Lepisosteus oculatus: one gene and its partner. The protein of the gene in region 2 interacts with the protein of the main gene of each other region in a pairwise test. Links are inferred from orthologs where the notes say so. Each region holds a gene or a part of one and is shown on either strand. Other genes may lie near its edges. The genes, in order: hmox2b and cep126.

Region 1 (17,067 bases), on a different chromosome or scaffold from region 2:
GGTCACCTACTGGTTCATCAGCAGCACTGATGTCCCTCTGGTGTCTCTCAACCCTGTACAGATCATGCTTAGACTTGCTTAGCTTCTGAGATCTGATCGGAAAAGACTACAAGGAGGTAATGTGTTGCTTATGCTCCGCTAAGGAGCACATCTGAAAGAAAACACAAATCTTCCGCAGTCCAGTGCAACTCCTGGATGTGCCAACCCATTACAGTATTTGAAACCATTGGAGAGTCCACCACCCAGTAGAACTGTGTTCAAACTTTATCATTTTACAACACACTGTGCATGTTATGGTCTCAGAATGAAAGTTTTCAACAGGTTATATACAAGTAAAGTTACATTTCTTATGTATATAAGAGGATGAGATGTATTTAGTAGTTTTCCAGCTTTTCTGACTAATGCTTTGATACACAGGAACACTTGTTCTTGCTGTCTGGCTTTCCTACAGTTCTCCTTTATTTAGTCGTTCATTTGCACCACTGAGTGTGATGTAACACTCTGACTGCTCTACCTTACTGAAGAGAAAGTCTTTGGGAAGGCGTTTCCCAGATTCTGGATTCTGTGGTACTTGAGTCTCGACACGCAGTTCTAGGACAGCATGCTCAAGATGTGGTGCTCTCTGTCTGACACTTTTGCTGAACCTTTGCTTGAACATTTTAAACACATCACACATTAGACAAATGCAGGGCATTAAAGAGAAGCTCACACAAAATGATAAATAATAAATTAGAGGAATAGGTACTAATTAAATATAACATGCATCTGTGACAGGCTGACACATGTTTTACACGAGCACAATGATATATAGCTGTACTTCTCTCTGTAGCACAACCTACACAAATGAACGCAACGAAGTGTGAGTGATAGGTATGTCAGTCTCCACCTAGCCCTGCAAAGCAGATTTTTTGGCTCCAGCTACATCTACTGTGAAAGGGTGTAATTCCTGGGAACCACTACTGAAAAGGAGTGGCCTGGGGCTCAATAGTACAGTCACACCAGTTACTGTATATAGCACACCTCTCAGTTTGCCTCAAAAGCATTCGGTCACAAGACACTCCCAGAATATATGTGAGGAGATACCTGTGGCATCCTCAGTGCATCTCTGACAGAGAGGTCAGTCTCATCTAGAAGTGTCCGAATAGTGTTACATAGTGTACACGTCGTGGTCAAATTGAAAAGAGATTAGTTGGTGTGGTTAATTTTTAAGGAGAAAGTATTGTCTCAGACTACATCCCAGAAGAGATAACCGACCTGTTTGTCTTGGTCTGACTCCAAAGTAAATTGGACTGGGAGGAGACTGATTTTAGCTGGAAACTAAAAGCCATTTTTTGGATTTTTGATTCGGCTAGCAGGTTTCATTAAGACTTTGCCTATGACTTGCTAAGGAACTATTTCTGAAAAGAACAGCATACTGTATGTTACAAAATGTTCTTCATGAAAAGGAATGAGATGACGCCGGTAACAGTCTGACTATGAATTCTTCCAAATTTGAACATGTCATTCCGATGCAAAGAAAATTAAGTTCCAAATTACTTGCAGTCAAACCCGGAAATGCATTTGCAGGAGGAAGTTTTGTTCAGCCTAGCAAGTTACCAGGGACCGTGGAGGAGAAAGAGCATAAGGGAATTATTCATGATGACACCTCACAGTTCATAGAAGTGAAAAACGAAGAATGCAGGGATATTATGAACTACTGTGGAGGATGTTTAGCATATTTTACCATAGAACATATCAGTCAAACTTCTACAGCCTACAACACATTACAAAAATGCAAATATGAAATGTACTTAGGAGAAGGTTTCCTCCCACCTCCAAAGACATGCTGACGTTTTGATTGACTATTTAGAATACTCGCTTTCCCCACTGCCCTGGGACAGGCTGTCAGGGTGAAAACAGGGTGGTAAGAATCCCTGTGCTTCCAGAGGCTTCTTTGCTCCTGAAAGCTCCGATCAGTTGTGTTTTTATTTTGTAGAGGCTGGCCCGGGACCGCAGTAACCCTGCTCACTGGTTTGACTATGGAGCGTTCTTAATGCTCACCTCAGACTATTCCAAGGCAGAAGAGTGCTTCCACCAGGCAGTGGCCTTAGATCAGAGACACCTGCCAAGGTGAGTGCCGAATGCTCACCAGCCCTTATTGTTCTGCTCTCAGTGCATTGCTCTTCTTGTGTCTCTGGTGTGAATTTTAATTTCCAATTTCCATTCTGCATTCGCAAAATCTGCAAAAGAAATCCAATATTTTCAATTGGTTTATTAACTTTGCATAACTTTAGTAATTGATTTGTGAATGGTTTGCATCCAGTGAAGCAATGCAGAAGATGTTGCCATAACTTTTGAACTCAGAAAGACTGAGCCAGCTGCTTGCTTATCCTTTTTGGGTAGGATGCTATGGCCATTTAAGGGCATGTTTTCCTACACAGCCCAAAATGGGTAATGCTTCACGCTTATTGTATCTACTTACACAAGACTGATAACTCATGTCCAAGTAAGACATTAGAATTACTCTGAAATCTTTCACTCATGAGAAAAAAATTGCACTGCTGATGGTGCAATCTTAAGGTACTTCAGCGAACTCACATGCTTCGATCTTTTTGAGAGTTCATACTGGCTGCTTGCTCTGTGTGTAGCCTCCTGCTGTGTGGGATCCTGGCAGAGATGGGAGGGAGGCATGAAGACACAGAGACCTTCTTTGAAGACGCCACCTGTGTGGACCCCTCCAGTGTGATCGCCTGGACTCTGTTTGGTAAATTGGGTTCCTTCATGGGCAGTCATTTTCGGTGTCTCTGTTATAGGTTATGCTTCACTTTTTTGAATCTCCTTGGCTTCCTGGGGTGAAAAAAGAGAAAATAAAACGTGCATACAAAGATACTGAAATTCTGTTTTGCTGAAATGGTATGTTTAATGTGGGGGCTAACTAAACATTAAGCTCTAGCACTGTAATGTCCTTTATCCCTCTTGGTTGATTTCTAGACACAGGCTGTGCGATTGGTAAGATCTAAATCGAGAAGCAGGGCCATATCAGCTTAAAAAGTACAGCCATTTTACCTTTGGGTTGTTTCAGGGCTGTTCTACGAAGGGCAAGAAAATGCAATACAGGCAGAGATGGCCTTTCTGGAAGCCAATAAACAGCTGAAGGCAGCGTCGCAGGTGACTGTGATCTGTGCACCCCAGGCTGAAGATGAACAGGGCACTGAGCGGTCAGAGGGGGCTCCTGCACAGGAGGCCCAGGAACCTGCAGAGATTGAATCGGACATCCAGAGACAGGAGGAAAGAGGTGAGAAGACAGCACCCAAACTGACCACATGTATATATACAGTATATACATGTGCAGTGTATGTACGTATACAGTATATGTACATGTATATGTAAATGTAAGATGTTGTCAAGATGCTACACTGCACTATAAAGCTTTGTTCACAAGGTTTATAAGAGAAAATTATTTTTTGCTCAAATTAATTGGAATTTATTTGAACTGGAATATCACAATTGTATAGACAGCTTTGTCCTTTATTTAAACTTTGTACTTTAAAGTCAGACGAAGTAGAAGATGGAAAAAATAAAGCCATGGGCTGAAAGAGATCTTGAATGCTAGATAGCACCAGATCAATAGAAAATGGTGAATATGTTCTCTAATGCATTTATAGTGGTTAGATATTTACAAATGTTATTAATTTGCCTCAGTAACATTAATTAGCCTAAATTTTCCATTTTATGTGACCATTGAAGTGATTAATACAAAAACAACAGTATGCATTTTAATTAGTTTAACTGCAAAAAAAATACAATACATAACAATTTCGGTAAGTAGTATGTGAAACAGTGAATATCATATATCCACAAGCCAAAAACATCAGTAATGAAACTGTCTTCCTTTTTAGTAATCCTGAAAAGAACAATCTTCCTTCTACTCTTTCAGGCAACAGATGGTAATCGTGTGGCTAGATCTGTTCCTGAGAACAGAGCTCCTGTGATCTGAAATGTGATCTGCGTGAAGTAGGCACGCTCTGGGTCAGTATGTACCTTTGCTTGTCCTGCAGGTGCCGAGGCAGAAACGGAGAGCGTGGCTGCTGTCTCTGAGCACAGTCAGGGGGATGGAGCTGCAGTGCCAGAGCCTGACCTGCCTGTGTCCAAGCCCCCAGAAAGCAGTAGCCTCAGACCTACCACCACTATCTTCATGGAGACTGTACACTTCCTCCTGCAGACCAACGCCCTTCAGGTTAGGACATCTTCCAGATTCACATGACCATTGTCTCAGTGCAGTCATCCTTGATGCATTATGCTCTTTCTAAAGATCCTCTGATGTCTGATCACCATGTGTAATTCTATATATTAGTAATTTCATCATATTGCAGCTAGGGTGTTGTATGGGCTGTTGTGTGCTGTAAAGATGCTACTATAACATATACTCTTTGTTTCACTGGATGTTGCAAAGAATATTTACAGGGAGGATGATTTACATTTGTTTGCATTGATCAACACTACCCATGGATGCAGAAAAATGCGCAAGCAAAGTCTGATCTGTAGACTAATGATGCAATGGAGACCAAAGCAATGATCTTTGAAACTATAGTTCCCATAAGATACTTGCATAAGTATTGAGTTCTTGTTGAGTGAGACTTAATAAAACGAAAATGAATCATGAAAAAAGCACATTTCAGAATTTCACACAAGCAATGAGATTGAAAAGATTGAAAGACCAAGTATGTTCAATGGGTGGTGGCTGGACCTTAGTTTTCCGCCCTGTCTGGCTGTGTTGTAGATGGCTCAACGCGCGCTGGCTCAGGAGCTGCTGTGTCCGGACGGAGGGCCCAGCAGTTCCTATCATGTCGCCCTGGCCAGACTTCACCTCCAGAGAGGGGAGTTTGATGACGCTGATAAGAATCTACAGGAGGCACTACAGGACAGCTTTGAGGTAACAGCACAGCTACAGCCTTTACCACACTTTGTTTTAATGGTTTGACATCTACTGACTGTGCTACTCTGTTACAGTCTTGTGATAACCTTCAGTTTAGTTCTTGGACCAAGTCAGTTCATTCTGAAATACAGTAATATCTCTAGTATTCTATTATCTACAGCATCATTTTCTTGACATTTTTAGAGTCTAGAACTAGAAACCTGAAAACTAGAAAAAGCACCGTCCTTTGGATGAAACATAACACCGAGGTCCTGCCTCTCTGTGGTTGACTTGTGTGGCAGAGCACTTTGAGTAGAGATGAGCAGTGGGCAGTCAAATCTGGGAACGAAACCCCTGTTGGTTTTCAGAAACGCCAAGAAGCTGGAGAAAGCCGTCAGAAATGCACAGCTTTGTGAAACTTTGCCTTTGCAGAACCCAGATGTGTGGGCTCTTTCCGGACACCTTCATTACCTGACGGGGAAGTTCAGCAAGGCTCGGCAATGTTATGAGAGAACCCTGGACTTTGTGACAGACGCCACTGATATTCATCCCATCTACCTCAGGCTTGGCACCATCTACCTGCAGGAAAAGCAGGTCGGTCTTTAAGTACTGCAGGATCCTGTTGCACTGTAGGTGCTGTCGGCTTTCATTCCTCAACGACTCAGAAGTGAAAAGCAACACTCATTGTGTTTTTTCCAATGAAATGTATTGTGCGGTTAAATTTGTTATTCTCAGTTAAATTGGATAGATTTAGTGAATACAATCAAAAACATTTCCTCCATTGTATTTTCTCTTCAGATAGTTGAACAAAAGAACTATCCACAGAAAGCACAGCTTTATAGTTATTCCGTATTGTTGAAGCCGATGGCATGGCATCTAACAAGAAATGGCTGAATAACATCCTTGGATCTGTTAACTACTAGATACTAAAAGGGCTAGATCAGTGAGAAGGCCTGATCTCTTTTTTAACTCTTCTTAAATCACCTTCAAACATTGACCTTTATTATGAGTGATATTATAATGGAAGCATGATTGGAACATGCCTTACCGTTTTCTGTTTTTATACTTTGTTCTGTTGTCTTTCTTATGTCAACACTTTATAACATCGATAGAGTGTCTTGGATGAGAAGGTTGATTCGATAGAGCTCTCCACTGATCGTTTCGTGTGTCTCGCCCCCTCCCAGTTTGAGCAGGCCAAGCGCATCTACCTGAGGGCCTGCAGAGACTCCCCCTCCTGCCTGACCTGGCTGGGGCTTGGTATCGCCTGCTACAGGGTAACTACACCACAGAAAAATGAGCACCCCTATTATAGGGCACCATAGATACGTTTGCTTGCAATAAATTGGCCTGACCTTGCGTTCTGCTGGTTGCATTAACGTACTGCTATGGAGTGGATTATAAGGACCGCGTGTTTCGTACAAGTTTTTGGTCTTGTGAGATTTGTGAGAAGTTTTGTGCCTTGAAAGAATTTCTCCAACATGTTTTTTTATTCCTTTTGGTGTTGCGCAAGAAATCCAGATGACTGCAGTACATTAGCGTATAGTGCTCACTGAGCTTCAGAACATTCCCTCCTTGCAGTTGGAGCTAAATATGCTGAAATAGTTCAATTGCATAGTGCATCATGTCAAAATGGAAAATGAGACTTGAAGGTCATGCATAAAACATATTAAAGTATGTGCATTCTGAACTCAGCCCTAGGCTTCTCAGCCTTATGGCATGTTCCGAGGGATGTCTGGAGAGGATTGTTCATTGGTTGCTCAAAAACACAGGTCTAGTGTCAAGCAAAAGTGATCAAAGTAATATCAAGACATGATACGTTGTAAGATTCCACTTGTGCGACTGCCATTCTCACAACTAACTATATGTGGTTTCAGCTGGAGGAGCTGACGGAGGCAGAAGATGCTCTTACAGAAGCCAACACCCTGCATAATGCCAACCCTGAAGTGTGGGGCTACCTGTCCCTTGTCTGTCTGAAGGTGAGTTTGCTGTGGACATGTATGAGCCCAAGATCTTTCCCTCCATTTTCTAACTGCTTCTTACCAAGGTCCTCCAGGGAAGAGGGGGAGCCAGAGCCTGTCTTGGCAAGTGGGCACAAAGTAGGGTACGCCCTGGACATTACACCCGTCCGTCGCAGGGCGCACATACAGGACAGTAGATACACACACTCACACCAGGTCCAGTCTTCCCAGACAACAGTCAACCTACCAGTATGTCCATGGGCTGTGGGAGAAACCCACAGAAACCTGGGGAGAACATACAGACTCCACACAGACAGCACCCTGGGTCCGGAATTGAACCCAGTCAGATAAATGTTCCCTTGCAAAATCCTAAGCACAGAATTGCCTATGTGGATTAATAAATTGTATATTCCACCCTATGTCCCTTACAAATGTAGGATTGTGAGATTCTGAGCTACGAAGAATTGTACCACACATAAAACTGTTTTAGAGAATACTTAGTGCTCTATCAGTCAGTTTTACAGGTGTTTTATTAGTTTAATATTTTAAACTCAGTCACTCTCAATTATACAATCAATGATACCCATGTATAGTCCTGAATCACTCACAAGGAAGTGTTTGATGTAGTACATTTTTGTTTTTAACGGATAATCATAAATAAATACAAACAATAATTTGAATCAGCAATCTTTACCACTGTGCCACCATGCTGCTCATGTCTTATAATTATATTTTTAATATGATGTTGCACATGGGGAAATCCACATTAATGTAATGTACACAACACATCATGCTTCTATTTTAAAAGGATCATAAAAAGACTAAGAATTTAGCCGTGAAAATGTTTACGTTTTTGATTTTAAGTTTCTGAAAACTGAGTAAACAGTTTTTTCTGAACACCGAGTAAAAAACATTATCAGAAGGCTTTTTATCATTTTTAAGTCACTGGTGTTAAACATTGGCAAGATGTTTAAACTTGTTAAGCTTGTTGCCAGGTGAGTAAATAAGTGGCCAGTCAGTTACCTTACTCTTGCCAACAAGAATACGTTGACTATTTGATAATCCTTCAAAACAGAGGCGATGTTGTGCTTTACGATCAGTAGCAGCCCAAATGTGATAATTTGCACAAAATAAAGGCTTTGTTCTTTATGATGTACAGCATTGCTGTGTACATGAAAGGCCATCCAGAGGCTGAACTGTTTTATTTGTTTCAAACTCTGCTTGTCTGAGTCTGCCTCTAAATATAAGCGATGATACAGAATAATAAGGGGAAAGAGTGTGGCTCCTCCACATAAATTGGGTTCCCTTCTATATGGATAAAGTGTTTTGGGGTCATTTTGGGTGAAAAGTGCTACATAACGCTCTAAAAATGATTAACACAAATAGGTCATTTAAAATACAAACACTTCAGATGCAAGTTTCAGCATTTTAACTGTCGGTTGAAAAAAAACTGATTGATGTGTACTAAATACCAGATTTTTTTTTGCGTTTTGCAGACTGGCAGACATCTGGAAGCAGAGCAGTCCTACAAATACACCATAAAGGTCAGATTTGAACAGGGGCTAAACAGTTGTGAGAGACTTGGCCCTTTAGCAAGCGGCTCAAGTGATCTGAACACATGACAAGCTCACATGCATGAGGTATTAGTGCAGCGACTATGTATTTCTTTCCAACAAGGAGGCTCTGTAGCAGCTTCTCAAACTGCAACAACAATCCAACTACCAACTAACACTATGAGGCTGTTTATATCTCCATAATATTAGCTTTTTGTGATAAGGCTTCGCAGCTATTTAGGGTGTTTCCTGCATTTCCTTTTCTCAAATAGTCTTGCATTCTTACACATGAGAAAACGTCCATGGCTCTGCGCCACAGTGACCAAAGTCTGATGCCACGCTTTCACTCTGCTCCACAGCTGAACCTGCGGAACGGAGCTCTTCTGCAGGAGATCCATGAGCTACAGGAGCGTGTTGGCTTTGGAAACCCCTCCTTCTGAACATGCTGAAGCAGATCAGGAAGATATTTACAGCAACTGTCTGGGATTATGTTCTGTGTTGTTAATACAGTGGTTAGTGAACAACTCCAGTCTTGGAGAACTCCAGTGCAGAAAGAGATCATCCAGGCGTCCTGTTACTGAGTTTTACATCTATGCATGGTCATAAACGACGATAAATGCAGTCTTTTTAAAATAAATATTATTTACAAGGTCTTTATTGTCTTCTTGTGACTTCTTCCCCCTCCAGCATATTCTATGCAGATAACAAAATGTATTCAGTCATCTTTTCTGACCTGGAACTGAAAGCATAACAAAAAAACATTTTAGAGTTTAGCAAGAGGCAAAGAACCACTGAACATCTTGGCTTCAGAACTGAACGAATTAAATAAAAACGTATTTAAAAGCATTACAAAACTTTTTTAAAAAATATTTACAGTAACAAAATGAAAACGGATACTATAACTCAAACTGAAAAAAAATATACGTGCAAAACAGAACGGCCACAGCACCACTCTATCACTTTCTTTGGCGACAAAGAAAAGTACCCCCACCAAAGAGAGAGAGAAAGAGATTTCTGCGATTGAGCAAATATTGACTGCGGAGGCTGAGAATATCCCATGGGCGGCGCTTGGAAAAGGAATCGCTTGATTGGCCAGCCAGCAGCTCGTGGTGCGGGGGCAGCGAGGTCATTTCCTGTTTGCGATGCGGGTCTGATAGAAGAAGGTCAGTTGGTGGGGGATGCTGGAAGTGTTTTTACGAGTTAATTGAAGACGTTGGAGGGCTGCTGAAGTCGCCGCACCAGAACGTACACACAGGGGTTTATAGTCCCTCGACGTGTACGCATACGCGTTCGTGGTGGGAAAGTAGAGGCAGGTGAGGTTTGCGGGTTGTAGTAACCGCAGTGCTTTCGCGTGTAACGAATGTCCGTTTCTTTACAGTTCGGGACCAGAGGAGGTTGCGCGTGGGTTACCACTCTCGAAGCTAAGTTACACCTTGAGAGAGGTCGGAATTAGTGTTGTCTTTAAATTCAGGTGTGTCCAGACCTGCCGCACATGACTGCCCTCCCCTCATAGCAAACGTGTGTTCTCGAAGTTTTCCCCGCATGTCCACCGGTTTTGTTGGCGTCGCTGTCGCCTGCGTGCGCTGGGAAAGTGTTGCGACCTGTACATCTGGGGAGCGTGTGAGTCTGCCGCAGCTGGCGAAGAAAGCCTGCTGTGTCCGGTGCTGCTTTGTTGTTGCAGTGCCCGAGTTAAGTTTCCCTTTCCTTGACAGTAATGGCGACCTGGTCATTTTGAAGCTGTTGTTAATCAGCTTTAGGTTCTAGCCCTGAGGGGTGGATGTAGCGATCTGAAGTCGCACTTTTTTTTTTTAAGCACGCTTGTTTCATGCCATGTTCAGTGTTTCATTGCTTATATGATCTCATTTTGAATGGGGGGGAAAAACAGCACTGAATTGTAGACGGGGCTTTCAGTGTAGCTCTGTAGAGTTAGGCTTTAATCTTGGTTTTAATTGGATTCTTCTGGGTTAAAGAGGCTGGATCCTTCTTTTATCTATACAGATATATGTATATATCTATACAGCCCTTCCCGAGAGACGCCTTTGCAGACTGACCTGTTGTTTACCAGGCAATAGCGTCTATAGGTTACTTTTACAGATGAAGTCGTCTCTGGGGGCACAGCACATGACTAGGATATTGATGAAGGGGTTTGTTGAGTAGTATAAACCTGATCATCGCCATGTGAAGATTTTATACAACGGGTGAAAGCCCCTGCCTTCATCACCTGTTTGAGAAACGGAGGTAGATTCATAGCGCACCAAAATCCCCCAAAGATACATTTTCCTTTTTTGGAGTTGTTGTGGTAATAAAGTGTTGTTGACAAAAACATCCTAAATTATGACTAGAGTTTATCCCAATATTTATTTTTGCTTGTTTATGCAAAATAGTCAAGTTAACACATTAAGGTTGTATTTTATTTGTTGTGGTTGGCAAGTGAGGGATCTTGACAGAGGAGAATGATGGTTTTGCTGTGCCCATGGACAGCTCTAAGGACACTTACTGTAATTGTTGTCATGAAACTTGGGAGCATGTTATTGCTGTTTACACTCTCTAACCTGTCTTTAGCCAGTGCACAATGGGGAGCTGAGCGCAAACAGCCTGAACTTTCCAGCCCCTGGTCCACGGTGCGGCTGTCTTTGTACCGTGTTATACTGCAGGAGTAGGGGGGTGGTTGGGTGGGCTCTGCTTTGTCTCTGCTTTGTCTCGGCAGGGTGGGGGGGGACCCCTGTCCTGTTGTCAAAAGAGTGACGTGCGCTGTCCCTGATCCGCCCCGCTGACTCAGCTAGCCCCCCAGTGTGAGGGGAGACACCCCAGGGGTGCCTGCTTGCCGGGATGGGCTCTGGCTCCCCTCTGACCCTGTACTGGATGAAGCTTTTAGACGATGGATGGATGTTGGCTCTAGTGTAACATTAGTGCCTTTTCTACAGGTCTTATTAAGACAAAATGAAGTTAATAATTGCTTACACGTATAAAGCACTTTTCTGGACACTCCACTCAAAGCGCTTTACAGGTAATGGGGATCCCCTCCACCACCACCAGTGTGCAGCCCCACCTGGATGATGTGACAGCAGCCACAGTGCTCCAGTACACTCGCCACAGAGCAGCTACCAGTGGGGAGGAGAAGAGATTGATGAATTTTTTCCATTGAAAGATCCTGAATTGAAAAGCAGGCTGTGGAATATGATTTACTTAGAGCACAAGTGGTAACTTTACTGTGACCATGTTACTACTACTGGAGTAGAGAGAGAAAAAATTCCCATGCCAAACAGTAGCACTAAAACGAAACTGTACCACTAAATTGGAAACCTGAATGATTCTTCATTCCAGAGAAATTGAGGTATTATTTTAAAAAATGTTCCCCCCCCTCTCGAACGCAGAATAACTGGTTCATCTAGTCTCAAACCGATTACAGTCATCTCCTTTGGATCTATCGTCTTGTTCATTTCAAGAAAGAAGGAAGCAGGTTTTATTTCTTTTTTAATGCCACATAATTCTCTTTCTTAGATATAGCTCTAATATTCACAATTTCCTTACGTGTCTAATGACGTTCAGTTACAATTTCCATGTACTCTATACTGCATATCTGTATACATATATCTGTATAAATTATGCTATTGTTTTTTTTTCGATTGGTTGTACATATTTGGTATTCTTAAGATTTCTTTTAAAACCATTAGGATAAAATTATTTGTGTAAACTTCCATGCAAGGCAATATAATAAACGAAGGATCTTTCCTGGAGGTAAAGTGTGTGATTTGTCATTGTCCATTCTTTCTATTCTATTTGACAGTAACTTTTTTATAAAATAAGGAAGCTGCACAGCTGGTTTCCATATGTTTTTAGCGTGGGAGCTATGTAACCCAGCGGAATGTGACCCTCAGTGTTAAAGTGGATTCTGGAGAAAAGCTCTGCTTCCTTGGAATAACTAGACAAGGTGTTTTTTATTCTGTTTTGTGCGGGTAGCCTGTTGGCTACCTGACTCTGATTGTGCAGAGCGTTATTGTAGTTTGAGTTTTGATAACTGTACTGTATAGGGTTATTATAGGAGAGTTTTCGAATTTGCTATTAGTAATGTACAAGAGGAACATTTAGTCCCGTTTTTTAAAATTCCAGCCCCACTATGCTTTTCTCCATCTATATTTTGTTTCTTCTGCGGTGACCTTGGTAAGGAAAGTGTGGATTAAGAGGTATGTATACAGTAGCTGATTGACATGCAGCGTTCCCCTCCATTGACACACTCTGCCTGACCTGCTGCTTGTTCTTTCTCCAGCAGAGCCCTGTGAAGAGACACACGACGCCTGCCACAACACAGAACAATGCCCACAGAGAAAGCAGAGGGCCCCGGGCAGATGGAGGACCTTCCCAATGGGTCGAGTGTGGCATATGAAGACCACGAGGAAGAAGAGAATGTCAGGTAAGGGGAACCGGCCTACAGCGTTCACACGCTAGTGCAGAAATATCCCACCATCAAAGAAGACTTCTCTTTAAATGTTTTTGCTGGATAGCTTGGGAGACATGTTTGAAATACTTTAGCACTGGTTGGTTTCGTATGTGATCTCTTCTTTCAAACTGGTATTTTTGGCCTGATTGGCAATTATTATTTTCCCCATGCATTTTAAATTAATTGGGAGTAAACTTCCAGGTCCTCAGATATGCTCCTCAGTTAATTCAATGTGCTGCAAACTCCACAATGCCCTAAAGGAGAGTTTGTGCCAATTGGAGGAGTGGCACATCTTTAGTAGATTATTGTACCTGGAGAGAAACTTACTCAGCTGAGAAGGGGAACTTGTTTAATACATGTGGCATTATAGAAGGTTTGTAAACTAGACAATGTTTTATGTGCTTAAAGACACATTTGTTCATTTTGCTAAAATGTCACTCTGCATTTCACTTAGGAAATGGATGCATGACCTAGGAAACATTTAACTAGTTAAGTGAACTTTATAATGGAAGGAGGACAAGATTTTTAAAGATTAGGAATTTTTTTAATTTAATGAGAAGTTAATACAATAATACAATAGACACTTTTTAGTTAGAGGATGGTCAGTGCTTAGCTCTCTTCAGGGGTGGCAGGCTTGAGGAATTTCGGGCAGGGAGGGGCTCCTGACTGATGTCCACCTCAATCTGGGGTGCGTATCTCTTGTGCCCCCCCGTGGTAACACTAATGAACTGCACTCGTCCATCGGGGTGCACTATCTCCTGTAAGCGGGGGCAGTGCAGGGCCTCCCACAGCCTCTGCTTGATGCGCCGGCCCAGCTCCAGGCTATATGGCTTGGGCCGCCCCTTGGAGTTCATCCTCATGGGCTCCACCACGGAGTGGTACACCTGGCGGTACTCCTCCACACTCAGCCCATGGATGAGCAGCGGCTCATCGCTCCTACAGGTGGTATGACTGGGGGAGCCGTGGCCGGCAGCCGAATCGGGAACGGGGGCGTTTCTCTTTGTCTCAAGAGTTTCTTTCGGCCCCGCTGTTACGTGCGGGTGTGTTGGCTTCGTCTGCAGCACTGCTTCCTTCAGTAGTCTGTTCTCCATCTGCGGACAGACAAAAGGGTTGAATTGAAAAGACATGCCACCCAAATCGCAGAACAACGCAGTGGCACAGTTAAAACCTTCAAGTAAATTCTCCAGAGTATTCAAGAATAAACCAAAGATTAGATGAGTAAGGTCAAGCAGCTGTGACAAACTATTAATATTTAAATAAAACCCTTGGACAGTAGTAACTTCTAAGGTATGTGATCCACTACAGTTTGCCTTTCCTGCTGGACTCTACCTCTGCCTGGACGATGGAGCCACATGAGTTGTAGGCAGTTGTCCAGTGAGTGCGGGAGATGGAGTCTCCAGCCTGATCCCGGGCTGCAGTGCGAAGGCAGTACCATGGGATTGCTGGCTGGCTCCTACACTCTCCATTTGTTCCAAAAGAGGTTCCACACTGGATGGGCACCCCTCTGTGCTGGAACATATCTGGGTCTTGAGGAGGGTCCAGGATCTTAGAAGAGGACCTGGAGGGACTGGCTGCAGATGGAGGAGGAGCACCAGTAGACTTTATCATCTTCAGTCTCATTTTGATGGCAGTGGGATTCTTGGGGTCACTGGGACACATGATTGATTCCCAGAGGACTTTATTGCCACCATTGGCTTTCTTTGAGTTGAAGACCTGGCTTTGGTGACGGCTCTCCACACAATAATCGCGCAGGCGGGTGTTTGGTAAAATGGTCCTGCGCAGGCTGTAGTATCCTGCAGCACTGCGCTGTTCTGATTTCTGAAAGTTAAAAAAAAAACATTAGGCACAGAGCAAAAATTCTGTTCATGTCGTGTAATACTTAAAGTATTTAATCTCTTATATACATATTTTGTCTATGGATGATATTGAAATCTACATAAGTACTTTAGGTGAAGGTAGATTGCACTGGAATGAAAATTATGAGTAGTGTTTAACTTACTTAAAATAATCTTACAAATGATTAGAAATTAAATTTACCACAAATGAGCTACATTTATAGGAGTACAATGAGATATGCTTACAATCTCCATTAGATCCAAAGATTTCCTTCCTTTTAGAAGTATGTTTCAGGAGAAAAATGTAAAAGCTGTTATCGATTGCTCTTTCGATTAGAAATGTTTTTTTATATTTGGAATAGTTGCTTACCTACAAACCAACATTCTATATCAATTATGATGTAGCATGTGACCTCATCTCAAAATTCTATGAGCTGTTTTAAATATAAACACCTGTTCAAGAGGCTTGGAATGGGTTATATGTTTATCCTGTTTTGTTAAAAACCATTTGAGATGGACCCATAGTCTTGTGTGGAGGGCCTTATAAAGCTAGGATCTCAGTTCTGAGTGCCAAGTCCTCTGGGAAGGAATCATGACTTAGGCTCCCCAGGAATCCGCAAAATGATTGTTTGAAAAGTTGCTTAGTAAATTGCTTAAATTTACCACAAATGAGCTACATTTATAGGAGTACAATAAGGTTTGCTTACAATCTCCATGAGATCCAGAGTTTTCCTTCCTTTTAGAAGTATGTTTCAGGAGAAAAATGTAAAAGCTGTTATCGATTGCTCTTTCGATTAGAAATGTTTTTTTATATTTGGAATAGTTGCTTACCTACAAACCAACATTCTATATCAATTATGATGTAGCATGTGACCTCATCTCAAAATTCTATGCGCTGTTTTAAATATAAACACCTGTTCAAGAGGCTTGGAATGGGTTATATGTTTATCCTGTTTTGTTAAAAACCATTTGAGATGGACCCATAGTCTTGTGTGGAGGGCCTTATAAAGCTAGGATCTCAGTTCTGAGTGCCAAGTCCTCTGGGAAGGAATCATGAATTAGGCTCCCCAGGAATCCGCAAAATGATTGTTTGAAAAGTTGCTTAGTAAATTGCTTAAATTTACCACAAATGAGCTACATTTATAGGAGTACAATAAGGTTTGCTTACAATCTCCATGAGATCCAGAGTTTTCCTTCCTTTTAGAAGTATGTTTCAGGAGAAAAATGTAAAAGCTGTTATCGATTGCTCTTTCGATTAGAAATGTTTTTTGATGTTTGGAATAGTTGCTTACCTACAAACCAACATTCTATATCAATAATGATGTAGCATGTGACCTCATCTCAAAATTCTATGAGCCGTTTTAAATATAAACACCTGTTCAAGAGGCTTGGAATGGGTTATATGTTTATCCTGTTTTGTTAAAAACCATTTGAGATTGACCCATAGTCTTGTGTGGAGGGCCTTCAATAAAGCCAGGGTCTCAGTTCTGAGTGCCAAGTCCTCTGGGAAGGAATCATGAATTAGGCTCCCCAGGAATTCGCAAAATGATTGTGGAAAAAGTTGCTTAGTAACATTTTGCAATTCCTTGATAGTTTAGGGATATTATTTATTAAATTCATAGATCAAGTCAAGCCCTTGGTATATTTCTACTTAAGTGACGTTGAATACGCTTGAAGAAGTCATGTGGAGTTCTTTCAGTCATGGTATTGTTTCGAGATCTGGGTGGCATGTCCTTCTCTGAACCCGAGTCCTTGTGTTGGTGGAGAATCACCAGCTAGAGAAAGCGAAACTGGAACGAGATCCCTGAAAAAAGGAGGTTCTAGAAGTTATGTAAATAATCACAGACTGGATTTACGGGCAGGGCTCCTTCAGTGCAGTCCCCAGATGTGAAACCCCTGGATCGTCTTGGCAACTGCATTTTAATCACTTGGCGTATGATTCGTTTTCTGCACACTGTGGGGATTGCATGTTTTAAGAGGGGCAGCAGTGAAGAAACGGGTCTCTCTTTGGCATCGCCTTAGAGTGAGTGTACCTTGTTGTCCCTGTTTCTGCACAGGCCTGGAGACTTGTCAGAGCTGCTGAAGGAGGGCACCAAGGAGTCCCACGACAAGGCGGAGAACACGCAGTTTGTCAAGGACTTCCTCAAGGGCCGCATCCGCAAGGAGCTCTTCAAGGTGAGCTGCTAAGCAGGCTGAGCGACAGGCTGGCACTTTTTCCTGGAATTGCTTTAAGGCCTTTTAAGAGAACGACCTTGTGCAGAGATTAGGGGTCTGAGCACAGATGAGGCAGAGAGAGCAGATTTGTCTTGCCTTCGAGAGCTGAAGGATGATTACAAGCAGCCACCAGCAGAGCGTTCAGGCAGTTGGGATTTCTAGGGAAGGACGTTTT
Region 2 (16,987 bases):
ATTGATAATATTTTAGACAATTCTAAAAATACGAAGATATGTAAACCAGTCTTACAGTTACAGAGGAAAATAAAATACAAATGTGATTTTAATTGCATATTTCTCTTCATTCTCTTTTGGAAAACATTTAGGAAAATACAGGTTTTTAAACCATCATGCCCATTAGGCTGTGGGATATGTATTTTATTCTTAGCGTTTCAATGATGTTTATCATTCAGAATTGCGTAACAAAGAAAACACTAATGTTTAACTTGTGCATCTTATACAGTACTCCTGCAAAGCCAAAAAGACCAATCAAACTCACCGCTACTTTAAGGCTCTTGGTGACTGAAATTTATGATCCTATATTTTTTTGAGTAACTACAGTACTTCAGAGTGTTTTAGTGAAGTCCACTTATGCTAAAACAAAATGTATTTATTTCTGGATGGACTTACTCCTTTGATATCCTCTTTAATCCGGTTTTTCTATTACCTTGCTTTTAAAAAGGAAGACACATTTCAGTGAGATTATAATTCTGATCTTGAGTATTTAAAGGGGATTAAGTGCTGGACCATGACAGGTATAGGCGACAAAGTAGAACTGTACTCCATTATACAAAATCCAAGTTCTCGGAACATACTGGTTACACTGGAATAATCACTTAGAGGCATCTGTCTCCCAAATCAAAAGATAAACTCCCCAAAGCATTTCATGACTGGCGTCTCATGTGAAAGGGACCTGTGTTTGCAGTACTAATCCTTCAGCAGGTCCTGGCAGGTGGAGCTATGGGCTAAAATTACAGACTGACTTTTTCTGAAATGAAATTCTTTCTTAACAAGCTTTTAACTCTATACACAAAGTTAAGAAAAAGAGACTGACTGTGCTTGGTTAAAGGCACTAGCTTAGTCTGTGTAATTGAGAGTGTGCTATTACCAGATGTTTGTTGTGAAATAGGAGCAATATGCATCCAGAAAACTGCAAACAATGGCTATTGTGATTAAAGCATATTAAAAGGCTCCAGAAGGTAAGACTTTTTGTAAAGAAATGTATCTATATTTATCTATATTGGCACCTGCACTTATTCGTTTCATTACCTGATAGTGCAAGGTAATATTGTTTAGAATGTTAGACATATTTTCTTCACATAAGGAAAAGAACAAATACAGATTCAAATTCTGGAGCTCAGGCCTTTTGTCAGAGACTTAAATAAGTATCAATGTCAAACTGATCTGGCATTTACAATCAGTGCCTCTCAGTATTGAACTGTTTTAACTACTAGAATGCGCTGTTTCAACGTTCCCAAGGACATGTAATAAAGAGGTGACATTAACCGAGTAAGCATAGTTTCAACACTCATTTCCCATTTTCTTCATCCAGTGTCCAAAAAGATCAGCACTTTTTATTTTCATTACTCTGCATGCAATACAGCAACCTATAAGGTTGTTTCTTTGAGAAGATACCTGTTAAATAAGGTTTACTTGCACCTTTGATGTTTCTAGTGGTGGAAATAAAAGCATAACACACAAAAATGTATTTCTACAAGTTCTGCTTAGCACCTTCTTCAGTTCAAATTCAAAAGTGAACGAAGTGGGGCCCAGCCAGGGGGAGAAGTGGTGTTTAGTTTGTTTTCTTTACGAATGACAGTAAGCTGGCACCCTTCACTGAGTAAGACATAAATGTATCCTTGAAGAAATACAGCACTGGCTCAAAGAAACATGTCAGCTTTGGGCAACATAGATTTTAGAAATGTTTACTACAGAAAAGAAGCCAATTAGCTAGTGTGTAATGTACATAATCTGCTATTTATTTAAGTGACATTAAATCAAAGGCTAAAAGTCAGTTTAAATAAACATCAGAGTAAAAACTACAAAAAGATACACAGGATCCCGCATCTTGTGATTGTGATAATTCATGCTGTACACACCCACACAAACTTTCCACAGTCTGAAGTTATTATTTGATGTAAAGAGTGGTTAAAAACCTTGGTGGTAACACTGTTTTTTAAAATAAAGGGGCTCTCCACTCAAACTCGGGTATTTCATTACTGACACAGGGGATAGTGTGTGACAGAAAGACCAGGATATGTTTGTGTGAGAAGTCCTACCTGCAGGCTATTCATCTTTCTCTCCTCCAGAAGGCGCTGTGTCTCCAGAAGTTCATTCTGAAAGAGCATCTGGCTGCTCTTGAGATTAGTGCCACTCTTCTCCTGCATCAATTTGGCATAGGCTACTGCGGCAGACAACTGCTTCTGGTAATGAGAGGCAGTGGAACTTGCTGAAGAACTTGGAGAGGATGTGTAGGTCCTGTAGAAACAGTGTTATATTAGGAGGTCTGCTTTTGCACACCTGTCGTGTTATAGTTAAACAATATTAGCTATAAATGTGACTCAAGGACATACCAAAAATATCTGCAGTTTTGGAAATGTGAAAGCATTGTTTGATTTTGACCATCTAAAATAAAATCATCCTGTCTTAAATAGCTTCATCTGCCTTGAAAGAATAAGGTATAACAAATTACTCCTCATGAAACAAGTGAAAGTGGCTATTAAAATTTATTTGAAGTGGGTGGTAAAACTTCACAAGAGCAAAGCTTTTGCTTCCTTAACTCTTTAGGAAGAAAAATTCAATAAAAGACTCAAAGAAATTGTGAAAACCTCTAAATTCAACAGTGCCATCTGTTGGCTCCTGTTTGTCTTTTAATAGAATAATTTACAATCCATCTTGTGGACACTAACTATAACTGCAATTCCCAATTTACTGATGTGAATATATTATGATTATCATGAAATTATCATTTTACTGTATCATAATTACAATAAGGCTTCCATTAAAAAAAACCACAGTCTTACAAATTTGGAATGTATTCAAATAACAAATATACTTGGAAAAATAAACAGCGCACGTCCAAAGTTTTACATTTTGGGGGGGCTTTAAGTGCTTGTGTACAATTAGCTATCCAAAAACTAAACTGTGGCAGCTTTTTATACCTGTTGCTGATAGGGCTTCTGGAGTAGAGTGAAGAATTGAGGGCTGAAGAACTGAAAGAGGGTTGAATTTGATTCAAAGCTTCTTCTAATCGAGGGGTTGGATTTCTGTAAACTAAAAAAAGAAAAAAAAACTTCTGCCTTAAAAAACTTCACGTGCAAAGTAAAGTATTTTATTTTCTTACATTTCTTAACTGTTCAAGGAGCATTTCACATAAGAATATCCCTCGTTGGACTGCAATCTTCCAGAACTGGATTTGTTCCTCTCCAGAGTTTTACAAGTGCATTTATACTTGCAGGAAAAATACCTCCAGAGATTTGAACATGTTTAAAACAATGTTTTTTTTCCATAATAGCGTAAGATCCTGGAGAGCTTGACAGCAATTCTCTTGTCAGCTAAGGATGAAAAGCATTCTCAGTTGGGCACTAACAGTTGGTAAAAAGACAAATTGATGGCAAAATGCTCCAGTGTGAGAAGAACGTCCCAGTGGCACAAATCAGAGAACCACTTAATACTGAAGAAGTGACAATGGTTTCAATACTAGCAATACGGCCCTAGCTAAAATCCTGTTCTGTACTGTGGCAATACAGACACTCTATTTTGATAACATCAGAAATGAGCAAGTGCTGTATTCAGTATGGTTAGCTCCAAACAGTGTGGACATTTAAGTAATTTAATTGCAGATCAGGTCTATGTTTTCCCACCTTGTCTATTTCTTTGTGAGGGGGGGAGATGAGCTCTCTGAAACCTCTCGGTTGCCTCCTGCACTTTCTGTTTGCGCTGCTGGAGTATGTCCTCCCTCAGTTTCTGCTCCCTGATGTCCTCTTCCCTGCGTTTCTCCTCCAGAGCTCTGCAGAAAAATGGAAAAGGTATATACTGTCATCAAGGTACAATTAACAAGCAGGACAAGAAGAAATTAGTGAAACCAAGGAGAAACTGAACTACTTACAATGAGAATACATGAAATAATTATGTTAATTAAATTAAAACAATCATGCAAATTCAATAAATTAACATTCTGAGGTACAGAATGCTAATTTTGCTTAAGAAAGATCTTCAAACTAATCTTAAACTTCAGTACAGTCTACCTTAGTACAAACATAATCATTTAATCTTACATTCTAAGGGGCAAAATTACTTATCATACCTGAATCTTGTCTTGTTCTTAAAATGCAAAAACTTTTCCGCATCCTCATTAATTATTCAAACTCATTACTCATAGCCACGTTTTAGAAGCCAGACACAGGACAGGTTCTTTGAACATACAGGTGATAGAAAGGCTGATCAAATACGGTTCAAAAGTATTCAGCCTGGATGGATAATCTTTAGAAGCTTTGTTCAAGCGATTAAAATAACTAATAAAAGTTTCTTATACTAAAAATGTATCGATCCCAACTGCCTTATTGAAAACAGCAACACAAACAAATTGGTAATACATAATTGGATATAAAATAAATAACATAATACTATTTAAATGGTCGTCACTGTGTTGACTATCAGTTTTAACATTTCAACTATATATTCTGTACAGTACCATTAAGATATTACAGAATAATCTGGGTTAGAGACTTGTAACAAAAATTATAAATTGGGATGGAAATGTATTTAGATCGCTGTATTGTAATGAAATATTATGACTATTGCTTCTTTCAACACAATATTGAGATTAAAAAATAAAAGACCATATTTGTTTTGGTGACAAATGCAACTCAGTAGATGAACTCCAGCTGTTAAGTGTCTATGACACCAGAGATCCTACTGTATATTAATACAGGATCTTTGCAGTATACTGTATCAAGGCTGATGTAAATAATAGTTTTTTTTCTAATTACAAATAAACTTAAATTTCTAACCTGACAGCATTCTAACAAAGACAAAGAGGTTAAAGCGATGTCCAAGTTCAGTACAGAATGAAAGTAAATACTAAACTGCAACTACGACAAAGATAGCAATTTGAATCTATTCTTAGAAGCTGCACAAAAATACTTCATACATGTCTTCTGAAAGTAATCAGTTTGTAGTATTTAGTCTACTATCATTACATACAGAACATTTTTTTTTCTACTGAACCTTTTATTTTAATCTCTTTCCAGGAGCTGCTAAGATGCTGAGATTTAGTAGGTTATTAATTGTCTGAGATTTGTGCTTTACCTTGGGATGAACTCATTTTAAGCAGAACACTTCAGTCTAGCCAATCTAATCTTGCCTCTTATAAATTGCATTACCGTTACCAATTAAGAAATCTAATTTCAGCAGACGAAATCCTGCTGGCAAGTGAAGTATTGAATAACAGGATCTCTCTTTTTTCCTTCAAACCATTTTCACTGACTGCTACAACTGTTCTGCATAGGAAAACTACACCATCAGCTGGATTGGTGGCAATGTACAGCCTCATAATTTAACATTATGGGATTGGTGCGAAAACATACTTTTTTCTTATATGTTTATGTGATATTAATGCTTATCTTTAGTGCTATAATAAAAAAACTAACAATTCCAGTGCTTCCTGCAAACACATTAAATGTGATTGTCAATTTCTGTTCAAGTTGCCTCTTTTCTGTTAACAGATGTTTTTTAGTACAACTTTACAAAAAGTTTTCTACATGCTGTATGCTGAAAAACAATGAAAACAGTCATGTGACTTCGGAAAAATGCCACGTACTCAGTATTTGATACCTGAATTGGATTAATTGCCAAAATAAAGTGATTAAGAATAAGTATCAATAGCCCTTCAGAAAGTAATTAACAAAAATGCTTCAATTAATGCAAAGAAGGTGAAAGATACAGCCGCGTCTTGTTTGAATAATGAGGACTGCTGGCTGATGTTGGCATCGCTGTCCATGAAAGGACTTGTTAATGTGTACAGTAGCCAGCTTTTTCTCCTGATCTGAGTCCCACAGAACACTTGTGGGAATTATTCACCCACACCATCAATAGAAAAAAACACAACTGGCCAACCTTCACCATCTGGCTGCATGTGGTGCAACATCCCATGCACAGTCTATTCACAACTTTCAGGTCAACACTGCCAAGATTGTCTGAATGCTTAGGGAGGTCAAATACAATACTAACTTTGTAATGTCTTCATTTTGACAGTATGTTTAATAGTGAAATGGTCTCATGATTGATCAGCTCTGTATGTAGTGCACAGTTTTTGAGTTCTTGTTATGATATATATTTTATTTAATCCAGTAGATCATAGTGATGCATTTCTTTTCTGTATGAGTATAAATTATATATTTTTGTGGATACTGCAACTGAATTTAACCTCTTAAAATACAAGAAAAAACAACATACAGTACCAAACATACCTCCTACGTCGATTGGTTTCCAAGGAGAATTTTCGAGCACGAGCTCTGCATGCCTTCTGTTCCTCAACCAGAACCTGACGGTCATCTTTCAACGGCCGTTCTAGCTCTGTTTTTATATTTCTAACGTCAGACAACGTTAAGGAATTTCAGGACATGGGGGTAAAAAGGAGATTTTGCCTTCACCAGTTGCGCAGTAGTCCAGAAGCACATGCACATTAAAATATAGGCCTGTCAAAGAAGGGTCTAGCATAAAAGTTAAAAATAAAAACCCACAAAGAGCCAGCCTTTAATGAGCTGAAAAGGGAAGCTTTTGTGTTAATAGTACACTACCAGTGGTCCATCTTTATTTACCACAAGGAAAACAATAGTCTGCAATACCTAGTTTCTAAAACATTTGTTGGATTACTGCAATTTCAGAAAGTTTCCAATCTGAATTAAGTACTAGGGGGGGAAAAAAGGAAAATTGTAAGGTCATTACATTAAATTAATTATGAAAAAACTGAAGATAAGAATCCATCCATGCTATCAAGTGACTGAAAACCATTCACAAAGCTGGGGAAAGGCTTTTCTTCTTGCTTGTTTGTTGTGCTATGATTGCCAAGTGCAGCGGTCACACAAATTATGCCACTCCCTTTTTACAGTGCAGTATGGTGGTCGCTATAATGGCAAAGGAGGTAACGGAGCAGACAAATGTAAGACACTTTGAAAAGCAGCAATACTGTATACAGGTATATATATCTAAACATTTTTTCCTTGTTTTGTAACTTAATTGTAGTTGCTATACCTCTTACCTCTAAATGATCTCTGTCAGCCAAAGGCCAAAATACTCAGATCAGATTGCAAAGTGATATGACTTTGACAGATACACATAGACTCATACACACACGCATATATACACTGGCATCAATAGCGGGTGAAGATACTCATAAGGAAAAATACAAATAAATTAGCTAGCTAGTCCAAAATGAGGAAAAAAAGTGTAATACAGTAAGTGAATATTCTGTGATGACTGTCTATCAAATTTGAAGCACACTGCCTGAAAATATTTGGTCTTTTAATGAATGACTATACAGTACCTACACCAATAGTAATTGAAGGTGGTTAACAACAACAACAACAACAACAACAACAACAACAACAACAACGTCATAAAAAACATTTCTAGAACTAGGATCTTGAGGTAGCTTCTAGCAAAAGAAATAGACTTATAACTAAACAGACATCGATTTAAGGATACGAATAGGAGCTGGCCCTCTGGACGTGCATCCTGAATCCCAGGATGGGACGACGTTGAAGAGTTCTCCAAACTGGTCACAATCTTCATTCAAACCAAGTTCAGCGATCGTACACGTATTTTAAGAAACGGATTATCCCCAGCCTGTATTCCGAAATGCGCTAGCCGGCTGTCCTCCGCTTCACGCCAAAATAAACCCACAGTTTGTGTGTGAACGAAAACGTTGAAACTGCGGCGCGATGTGCCATTGTAGTCAAGCGCTCGTTATGATCTTCTGTTGCTTCTCATTTTTTTTCTTATTTCCGAATTCAGCGTTGACAATTTGACTGGGTTTTCCAGCTAAGTAAAAGTTTTGCTCTGCTGAACCTCTAGATTAATTAGCCCCGCCATGTTGACAACCAGAGACGCCGCTTCCTTGACAACGGAAACTAGGCGCAGGTTGAGAGTGGGGCCGAGAAAAGGAGGAAACGACGGACGGCAGGAGAAGTCCGGCAGATTATAGCTGTTATCGCAATTATAATTCCTATAATAATTATTTATTCTTATAAATAATTATTTATGTTTACCTATCCTACTACTACTTTATTATAACTGCAATAAACATGGACACAATTTGTCGATTTTACACACTTGATGATGATCAGCGTACTCTTGTGTTTTAGGGTTAGGGTACAAAAAAACTAAGGCATAGACTTGCTTGATCAAATAATTTAACTGACATTTTAATTCAGAGCTCCTCCCAAAGAATAACAATTTATGTTTTGCATTTGGGCAAATGTGTGCTACTGTTCTGAATTTCTGATGTCAGCTAATATTTCATGTCTTTTCAATAATTACGATCTTTTTCTGATTTCAAAATTATTCTAAAATCCCTTCCAAGGCACAATATTATGCCTTTTGCTTCACTGAGCCTGTTTGCCACTACTCAGTGAAACCTGTTATTCACTGTTGGGTGTGTGGTCTTCCAATAGGCTAACACTTCAGATTTGTAAATACTGTATGAAAACTTAAGTCAATAAACATACTAGTCTAGCAAACATATTTCTGTATGTTGCATATTGTACGTAATTCTTTGCAGATGCAGAGTACATAAAATCTCACTTTACAATGTGCTCCCCCTGGTTTTGTCTATAAAACCTGAAGGGCAAGGAATTTATGTGGAGCTCCAAGTGTGAACAGATGAACCATACTGCAAAATACTATGCACATTACAGACACAGAATTACATTCCATAAGCATCTTGTACATACCAGTAGTTGTAGGCAATCTTTCTTCAATACTGTGGAATTTATATACACTGTATTTTTTACTCTATTTTTAGGAAAATAACAGCAAACTTGTGCTGCTTTCTAAAGAAGCTGTTAAAGGGTTAAAGTTACATTTTGCAGAAATGTTATTGTTTGTTTCTTGGTAAATCTGAATTAAGAAACAGTGCTCAACATTTTTGTCTAGCATTTCGCTTTGTGATATGCCTGTGCAATACAAAACTAAACAGTGCTAAAAGAACACAGCAGTGCACAATATTTAAATTGATTTGACACAGTCCCAAATCATATCCTGTCCTGAACGCTTTCAGCAGTTGAGAGAAAGTCATTTGTTTTGGCTCTTTGCTGTTGTGCAGATGCCAGCAGAGCGTCTTGAGTTCCTGAAGCTGTGGTACCGAGGGCTCATGAGACTCAGTAAACCGACCAGCACATTAGAAAACGTCTTCCTAAAGGAAAATGAAAAGGCTTTTCTTCCCAGTTTTGTTTGTATCTGTTCTCCATGACATCCAGACAACATCGACCAACTCTGTGGTATGTATTTTTGTTAGATATCTTAAAATTGCTATTATTTCCTGTACGGAAAAAAAAAAACTGAACCAGAGCACTTGAATTTAGTTCTAAATTGAATTTCGGAGTTGTATGTGCAGTATTAAAGTGTGTTTTAAAGTTTGCATTTCTTAAAAAACACAAGATGCATGGAACTGTTTGGTAACATAGATGAGCTACATACATACATATATGCATCCACTGTACATGTTTAAGGAGACATCTGTGCTGTAAAATATTTTCAATCCCTTTTTACTTTTTTTCATTCTTCAAGACGTACAGTATGAGTGAATAGAAGGGACAGATTCACATTCACACTTAGGGTTGCTTCTAATGATTTAAGCGTTAATTAAATGCACTCCTAACAGAAAGCAACCTTTGAAGTTTCATTGGATTTTTGTACATAGAGAAACAGGAAACAGCTTGCATGTCTCTGTTCAACATTTGATAATTAATTCCAACCTTAACAAACTTCAAATTCTCCTGGAGTAAAGAGGAGAAACATAACAGTTGTTCTTGGTATGTCAGCCCAGTCTGTAGTCTAATGCATCTATAATTGTTAGATATTTGTGATCTGTTAGATTTAAAATTAGGAAGAATTTGCCACAGTATTAACTATGATCATTTATATGCAAAACACATTGGGAAATTCTAATGCAATGTCACCATTAAGAATCTACCTAAATACTGAAGCTAATCTCCTGAGAAGAAATTGATTGTTTCTGCTTCCAATGTGCCATGCTAATGGGTTTTCCCCATTCAAGTATTGAGGTCTTGTGGTTTATGGGGTATATTCTTTAAAACAAAATAAAAAAAAATGTCAGTATGATGTTGTGGGTGACATACAGAGATTAGTTATCCTTGTTTGCTATTTGAGGAATGAGATATTCAGTTCTATAATAAAAAGATAAACACAAACTAGGGGATACAAGAAAATGCATTCCTGCCTGGGTCCTGGCAAAAACGTATTCTTGGCCAGCAGGCAAAAAGTACAAATATAAAACAGTGTTTCCAGAGACATATTTAAAGATACAGCTCACATGAGGAACTAAGTAAAGCTGAAAAAAATATTAAATCCACTTATGCACTGGCTAAAAAAATAAATAGTCTACCTTCTGATATTTTATTAATGTCTTAGTAACAAAATGAAAAGAAATAAAATGAAAAATGTGTTTCATCAGTTCATTATTTTTGGAGGTACATAAGATTTAGCTAATCAAAAACATAAGAAAAAGAGTTCACTTGTTTACATTTTAGATTAGCGGGTAACTATAGAACTTTATAAAACGCATTGGTTCAGATGACTTAACATAAGCCTATGTGATCCCGATCAGTTTGGCATGATTGAAAATGTTTTCTTTGTCTGCTAAAAGGAAATCAGTGAAAGCAGTTCAGCTATAAATCAGTCTACAACGGCGAAGGGAAAATACCATGGTGAAAACATGAAACCCAGACTCTCCAAGCCATCAAGAGAAAACAGGCATGAGACCTGCCTTACGCAATGTGAAATGTCAGCAAAGCTCATGAAGGAGGAGAAACACCTGATGTGCAGTACGTACACTGAGGACTGTGGACTTGACTTTCTGTTTTTAAAAGTAAAGTGTACACGGAATGGGTTTGGCTTATATCCACGACCCGTATACCCTGAATTGATACCACAAATTAATGCAGTTTTATCTATCTTTTTAAGGAAACTTACACCATTCTCTTGTTTCCTACACGAGGAGCACAAGGAAAATGATTAGAGGCATGATGGAGGATCACCAGAAATCACTGGAGTTTCTTTCAAGCCAGGCAAGCTATAGCAATGTACATTTTCTTGCATGAGATGTGTGGCAGTTAGGAATGGATAACAGCCTCAAAAGAATCCAAACACAGTTGGACTATTTTCGTGGAAATGTAATGACTTTTGCCGTTTCAGAAGGTACTAGTGACATATGAGAGTGTTTTTTGAGCTTTTCTAGTTCTAAAACGAAAACTAATTTTTAAACAGAAAGCAAAATGTTGACATTTTTATTCAGAGCATTCTTACCTTTTGTATTTAGAGCTCTAGGAGGAGGAGGAACATGATTCCCTAAAGACTAAGAGAGCATTTAATTCCTTTATACCTAAAACATTATTCAATTGTGGAATAGTGTTTTCTGGTAGGGATCTTCTTCTTGTTTTATGTTCATTATGTTTATTTATTGTTTTTTTGGGGGGAAAAAACAAGTCTCTACAAGTTAATTGCCTATTATTTTCATCTTATGGTAGGAGAAGAGTTCTGATTGAGCGATGTTGTTAAATGTTGTTTTGCATTATGGCATTGTACTGTTGTTGTTATTGTATAATCATTATAAACATGTAAAGTGTTTATGAGTTCTTGATATGCCCGAGAGGAATTTCCTTAGGGGCAATAAAGATTAAATTAATCAGTTTTATATACACCTTGAACTTTGCTTTTATTTTCACAGGTAAGGGAACTGATGAACAAAGTTCTGACACTCAGTACAGAAGTCTTAAAGAACAACATTGAGCCATTTCCACATAAGCCAGTACAATCACATGGTAAGGTCATACATTTACCTCTCTCATGTTAAAGCCTATTTTTTTGTCTTTTCTACACTGGTCACTGATGTATAAAGCCAAATCATTGCCAAAGCTCTTGACTATGAGTGTAACTACGACTCCTAAACTGGTACCAGAAGGTATTTGTATTTGTGTTGGAATATTGATATAATTGTTGTGAGCTATGGAACTGTGTATGTTATTATTGTGTAAACTGGCTTTCCCAAGAGACTCACGTGGGGCCTCCAGCCATAAATGTATATACTGTATGTATAAATGATATACTTACTGTATCTATCTGTATATACTACATTTCAAGAAGATGACTGTAACGATCTTTTATGAGAAATTATCCCTAAAGGGATAATTTGTGTAGTGTTTTTGTTAATTAAATTATAAACTTAAATAGAGAATAAATAGTGAATATAATAAATATATGGTATGAGAGGCAAATCTAAATGTTATTAAAGTGGAAAACAAAGTTAAATGATTGGTTGATATTTTTTGTCCCACAGGTGGAAACATCTTTCTGTGTCATTTACAGTCTGATTCTGCTAATATTTTCATGTTGATTACTGTTTCTAGGGCGTGATTGCAGTGATATTATAGACACAGTACAGTCCATTTCCAAAACTCCAAGTGGTATTTACATAATCCAGCCAGAAGGACTTGACTATCCATTTGAGGTAACAAATAAACTATGTTGAAACACACAAAATGACAAAACAGACAAAAACAACAAAAATGTATTGGTTTATTGGTTACAAATTCATTTGAGCCATCTAGCCCATTTAAGCTGTTAGTAGTTAAATGATCCAATTATCTCATCCAGTTGTTTCTTGAAAGAAGCCAGGGTATCGGCTTCAATAGCACGGCTGGGAAGTTTGTTCTATAATCCCTCAATCCTTTGGGTAATGAAGTGCCTTCCATTCTTAGTTTTAAATGCACTTCCAGGTTATTTACATGTGACATAAATTATTTTAATCTATTTTCTATTTAAAAGTTAGAGCCCTAAGTTAACAATTATCTAACAAGTTAGCTCTTAAATGAGTAGTTGGACGCATTTCTACCCGTTTCTGTTTTCTTAAGAATATTTGGATACATAAGATTTGCTTTTGTACAGCCTCAGCCATCTCACAATGATTCAGCTTATCACAGCAGCCCACCTTGTACAGAACAACAGGCTGTATCATTCTTACTGAAGTCAAAATCAGACCTGATACTTCTGTCTCAATAACCAGTGATGGTTCTTTAAAACTGTTCATTCAATTTTAGGCAGGCCTGTCAAACATCTGGTTTTAAATATTAGGTGTTTGGAAGAAAACTAAAAATAACTAAAGCTGTTTTTTAACTGCAGGTGTTCTGTGAAATGGATTATATGGGTGGTGGATGGACTGTAATTCAGAGGAGATCAGATGGCCTCATTGACTTCAAAAGAGAATGGTCAGAGTATATGGATGGATTTGGCCACCTACCTGGTAAAACATAATAACTAAAGTGACAGTAGTCATAGCATGCTGTAGAATAAGATTACATAAATTACATTTAAACCGTCATGCTCTTTACACCTAGAGGGCGCACTACTTCTGTCCAGTTCTTAGTTCCCTGTCATTATTCAGGTGTGTAGCGCATTTACTTCCTGTATCTGCTCTGCTCCTGGCTCAGCACTGAGGGTACGGATCTCCTGAGACCCACCTAGCAGCAGGTCGCTCCTGTCCATGGACTGAGGGCATTGGTTTCTTTCTGGCATTGTCTGACCCCCTGAACCTGGGCTAACCCCTGTGTTGCCCCTTTTACCGATATGCATAGGGTCTCTACTGCTCTCCTTTTCACTCCACGGCATGCCCTTCCGACATTCGTGACATAAACATAGCAATGTACAGATTCATTTTCCGAACTGAAGCCTGCAGATCAGGCTGAAAGAATCCATGACAAAATAGCTATATTGAAAAAACGTGCTAATGTTACAGGAAACTAGCTAGAAGGTGACCGTGTCTCTGTGTAGGAGAGCACTGGCTGGGCCTTCGCAAGGTCTACCACATCGTGAACCAAAAGAACACAAACTTCCAGCTGCACGTGGCCCTCGTCTCCGATGACGACACTTCCTCCTACGCCTCGTATGACAACTTCTGGATAGAAGACGAAACCAGGTTTTTCAAGATCCACCTGGGCCGATATGCAGGGAGTGCAGGTGAGGGGAACGCTGTTCTTTCCTCACGATTTGCACATTTTCTTTTTCTTTATTGCTGAATATACTGTATCGCAACGGGGGTTCAGGCAGGCGTCCTTGCCGCATTAGGTCGGCCCCCCACCGTCGGGGGCTCGGACCCGGGACTCCCGCGTCACTCAGCAGGGACACAGCCCGGTGAGCCAAAGAGAGATCTCTCCACAGCCCAGGGGCTGTGGTCCTGCTATCACAGGGAAGGGCGGCGACGTCACCGCTCTGGTAAGCCGGCTCTTACACACCCTGATGGCCGTGTGCGTTACAATACTATAGAAGTTGCTTTATTTTTCTTTAGTTGTGTTATCTCATCCCGAATACAATCCACAAGACTGTTGTCATTTTTTTCCCCCCCAGGAGATGCGTTTCGAGGATACCGCCAGGAGGAGAACCAGAACTCGATGCCGTTCAGCACGTCGGATGTTGACAACGACAGCTGCCGTCCCTTCTGCGTCTTTGATGGCCAAGCCGTGGAGAGCTGCAGTGCCAGAAACAACGGTACAGGCTGGTGGTTTAACCAGTGTGGAATGGCCAATCTCAACGGCGGTGCTCCGGATATGGAGCGTGCCATGCAGCCCCATATCCACTGGGACACATGGACTCTCAATGGAGTCCCAGTCAACATCAAATCTGTAACCATGAAGATTAAGAGAGTCTACAGTCCCTTCTTCAAATAATTCTGAGTTACGGTCAGCTGCTGACTTGATTGCAATCCCAAAGGGAAATCAATAAACAAATAAAAATAATCTTCCTCAAGGTGGCCGGTTTCTGTTTAATGGCAAAGTTAAAGCTAAAGAAAAAAACGTTTTAGCCTATGACAGGGTTTGAAAATACAGTATGATAGCAGTACTAGGAACTGTCTTTGTATTTTGGGATTTTTTTCTCATCAGGTGAAATTACAGGGTCTATGATGTTCTGGTTTTTAGACCAGACTTTTAAAACAGCGGTATCTTTGAAGTTTGGTCATATGGCAGGATATTCCAAAGGTGAGGAAGTAAGATTCCTTTCTGCTAGAACAGTGGGCTAGAGAGAGCTGATGACAAATACTAAAAATGAACACGTATTTTATTAAATTAAAAATCAATTAATGCAGTTATATTTGACTAATATATGTTCTGTTTTCTTTCACGTTTGCTCTTTTGCTCTTGAGTGCTATGAAATTTAATACCAGATGCACAGTCTGTAATAGGGAGGGGTTGTAGTCATAGTTGAAAGCACCACTTTCCTCTGATCACAATGCCTGACGTGGCAGAATGAATGTGGGGAGCATATGGAAGCGTTTAAACTTTTCTTTGGCTCCAGGTCCCCTTTCATTTCTGAGTTCACAGGGGGATCATCAAGTCAAGGGGACTACTGGGAAGGAGGCCGTCAGATCTGATACCCTTATTGCAAGTCTGGGTTGCTATCCCTTAATTCGATAAAGTCTATTATCTCTCTCTCCCCATTAAAGTCGTCATATTAAAAAAAAAAACTAAAATGAAAATTATAATCTTTAAGTTCATATGGAAAGTACGACGTCATTAGTATTAAAATATGGAATAGTTTCTTAGCCTGATGTAATTTCCAAATGCCCTGGTGAATTCATCAGTGGCTCTTGGCGTTGATCATACTGTATTCCTGAGAAAGGGACTTTTAAAGTAGCCGTCAATATGAATTTTTGTATTGAAATTTAGTTGTAATTTATTTTGAGAACCTAAGATATGATGTAGCTTGGAGCATTCGAGATTTTTAGTTAGAATTTTCTTGCTGAAGACTTTGAGGAATTAAGCATGCTTTTTCATTTGAAAAAAACAGCAGCAAAATAGGTTACTAAGACTAATAATGTGCACCCAGAAAATTCAAGTTGCATTTACCCCCGTGTTTCTTTTTAAATTTGCTTACGGGTCCAGTTTATCTGTTAAAGGTCGTGTCCATGTGCTAAGTTAACAAAGTTAATCTGAACACTTGAGAAAAAGTGTGACTGGAAAGCTTTTTCTAAAATGAAGTTTGGAAAGGGGGAAGGTCAGTGTAAGTACAGTAAATGTTTACCCGCTCACATTTTTACATAATTTAATTACCTTGAAAACAGAAAACAATTACAAATTACCTACAGTCCAGTGTATACGGTATTAAAACAGCTCCACACTACCTTTTGTATCCATGAAAAGGGATATACAGTAAACTGGCAAGGCAAAAGTGCTGCAATTTCTTTTTAAGTCTGCAGGGGGCGTAGCACCACAGTAGTTTCTGAAATACTCATTGAAAGCTGGATTGTTCGTTATAAGATTTTATTTCAATGGAACAGGTAGATGACTTCCAACACTACATCGTTAATCAACATTGACTATTTTTAAATCTTATGATTATTGTATCCCAAAACAATTACTTTGTAGTATTTTGCAAAATGTTAAGGTTCACTTTGACATTTGAGAACATTGTGTAAAATGTTAAATAAACATTTATTTGCTTTCTGCAACAATAATTTGACATCTATACCCTACTACTGATTTAGAACCCATTTTAATTAAACTAAATATACAGGAGGTTGGCATTGGAGTGCATTGGGAAGCCTGGTTACTTCACAGCGCCAGTATCTTTAGGTTCAAAGCTGGCTCTGTGTGGAGTCTGCACTATGGCATTTGAAACTATTGTTTTCCAATAACCTATGACAATTTTTCAAGATGATCTGTGTGAGATCCCAGACTTAAATGATAAATCAATGCTTGCTGTAATAGCCACAATACAATTTGCAGCTCTTAAATGCACAAGTAATGGGTACCAGTAATGGTAAAAAATCCATTAGGCTTCTACAGAATAGCTTGGAATGTTCCATTGTGTTATTTTGTATCACATATTTTTATTCATTTAAGATGGGCATTCTTTCAGTGGCCTCAACATGTTACCAAATTTACTGAGCAAT

Evidence for each region.
Region 1: the proteins of cep126 (region 2) and hmox2b interact in a two-hybrid assay, tested with the Homo sapiens proteins (2 studies listed by BioGRID and IntAct). The link is inferred for Lepisosteus oculatus from reciprocal best matches to the Homo sapiens genes CEP126 and HMOX2.

The regions. Positions count from the first base shown.
Region 1 is NC_090714.1:3,703,498-3,720,564, forward strand, and holds the start of hmox2b (heme oxygenase 2), read left to right. Parts: upstream 1-9,525; 5' UTR 9,526-9,718; intron 9,719-12,672; 5' UTR 12,673-12,718; coding exon 12,719-12,816; intron 12,817-16,735; coding exon 16,736-16,853; intron 16,854-17,067. Other genes in the region: cfap70 (cilia- and flagella-associated protein 70), read left to right, coding at 1,976-2,109, 2,628-2,743, 3,062-3,274, 4,038-4,216, 4,760-4,912, 5,327-5,488, 6,079-6,168, 6,769-6,870 and 2 more.
Region 2 is NC_090700.1:8,336,990-8,353,976, reverse strand, and holds the start of cep126 (centrosomal protein of 126 kDa), read right to left. Parts: upstream 7,893-16,987; 5' UTR 7,542-7,892; coding exon 7,513-7,541; exon of another isoform or gene 7,509-7,512; intron 6,396-7,508; coding exon 6,276-6,395; intron 3,815-6,275; coding exon 3,669-3,814; intron 3,079-3,668; coding exon 2,967-3,078; intron 2,284-2,966; coding exon 2,085-2,283; intron 1-2,084. Other genes in the region: angptl5 (angiopoietin-related protein 5), read left to right, coding at 9,231-9,305, 10,694-10,871, 11,011-11,114, 11,774-11,867, 12,453-12,553, 13,225-13,345, 13,873-14,058, 14,446-14,765. UniProt on the Homo sapiens protein: Participates in cytokinesis. Necessary for microtubules and mitotic spindle organization. Involved in primary cilium formation.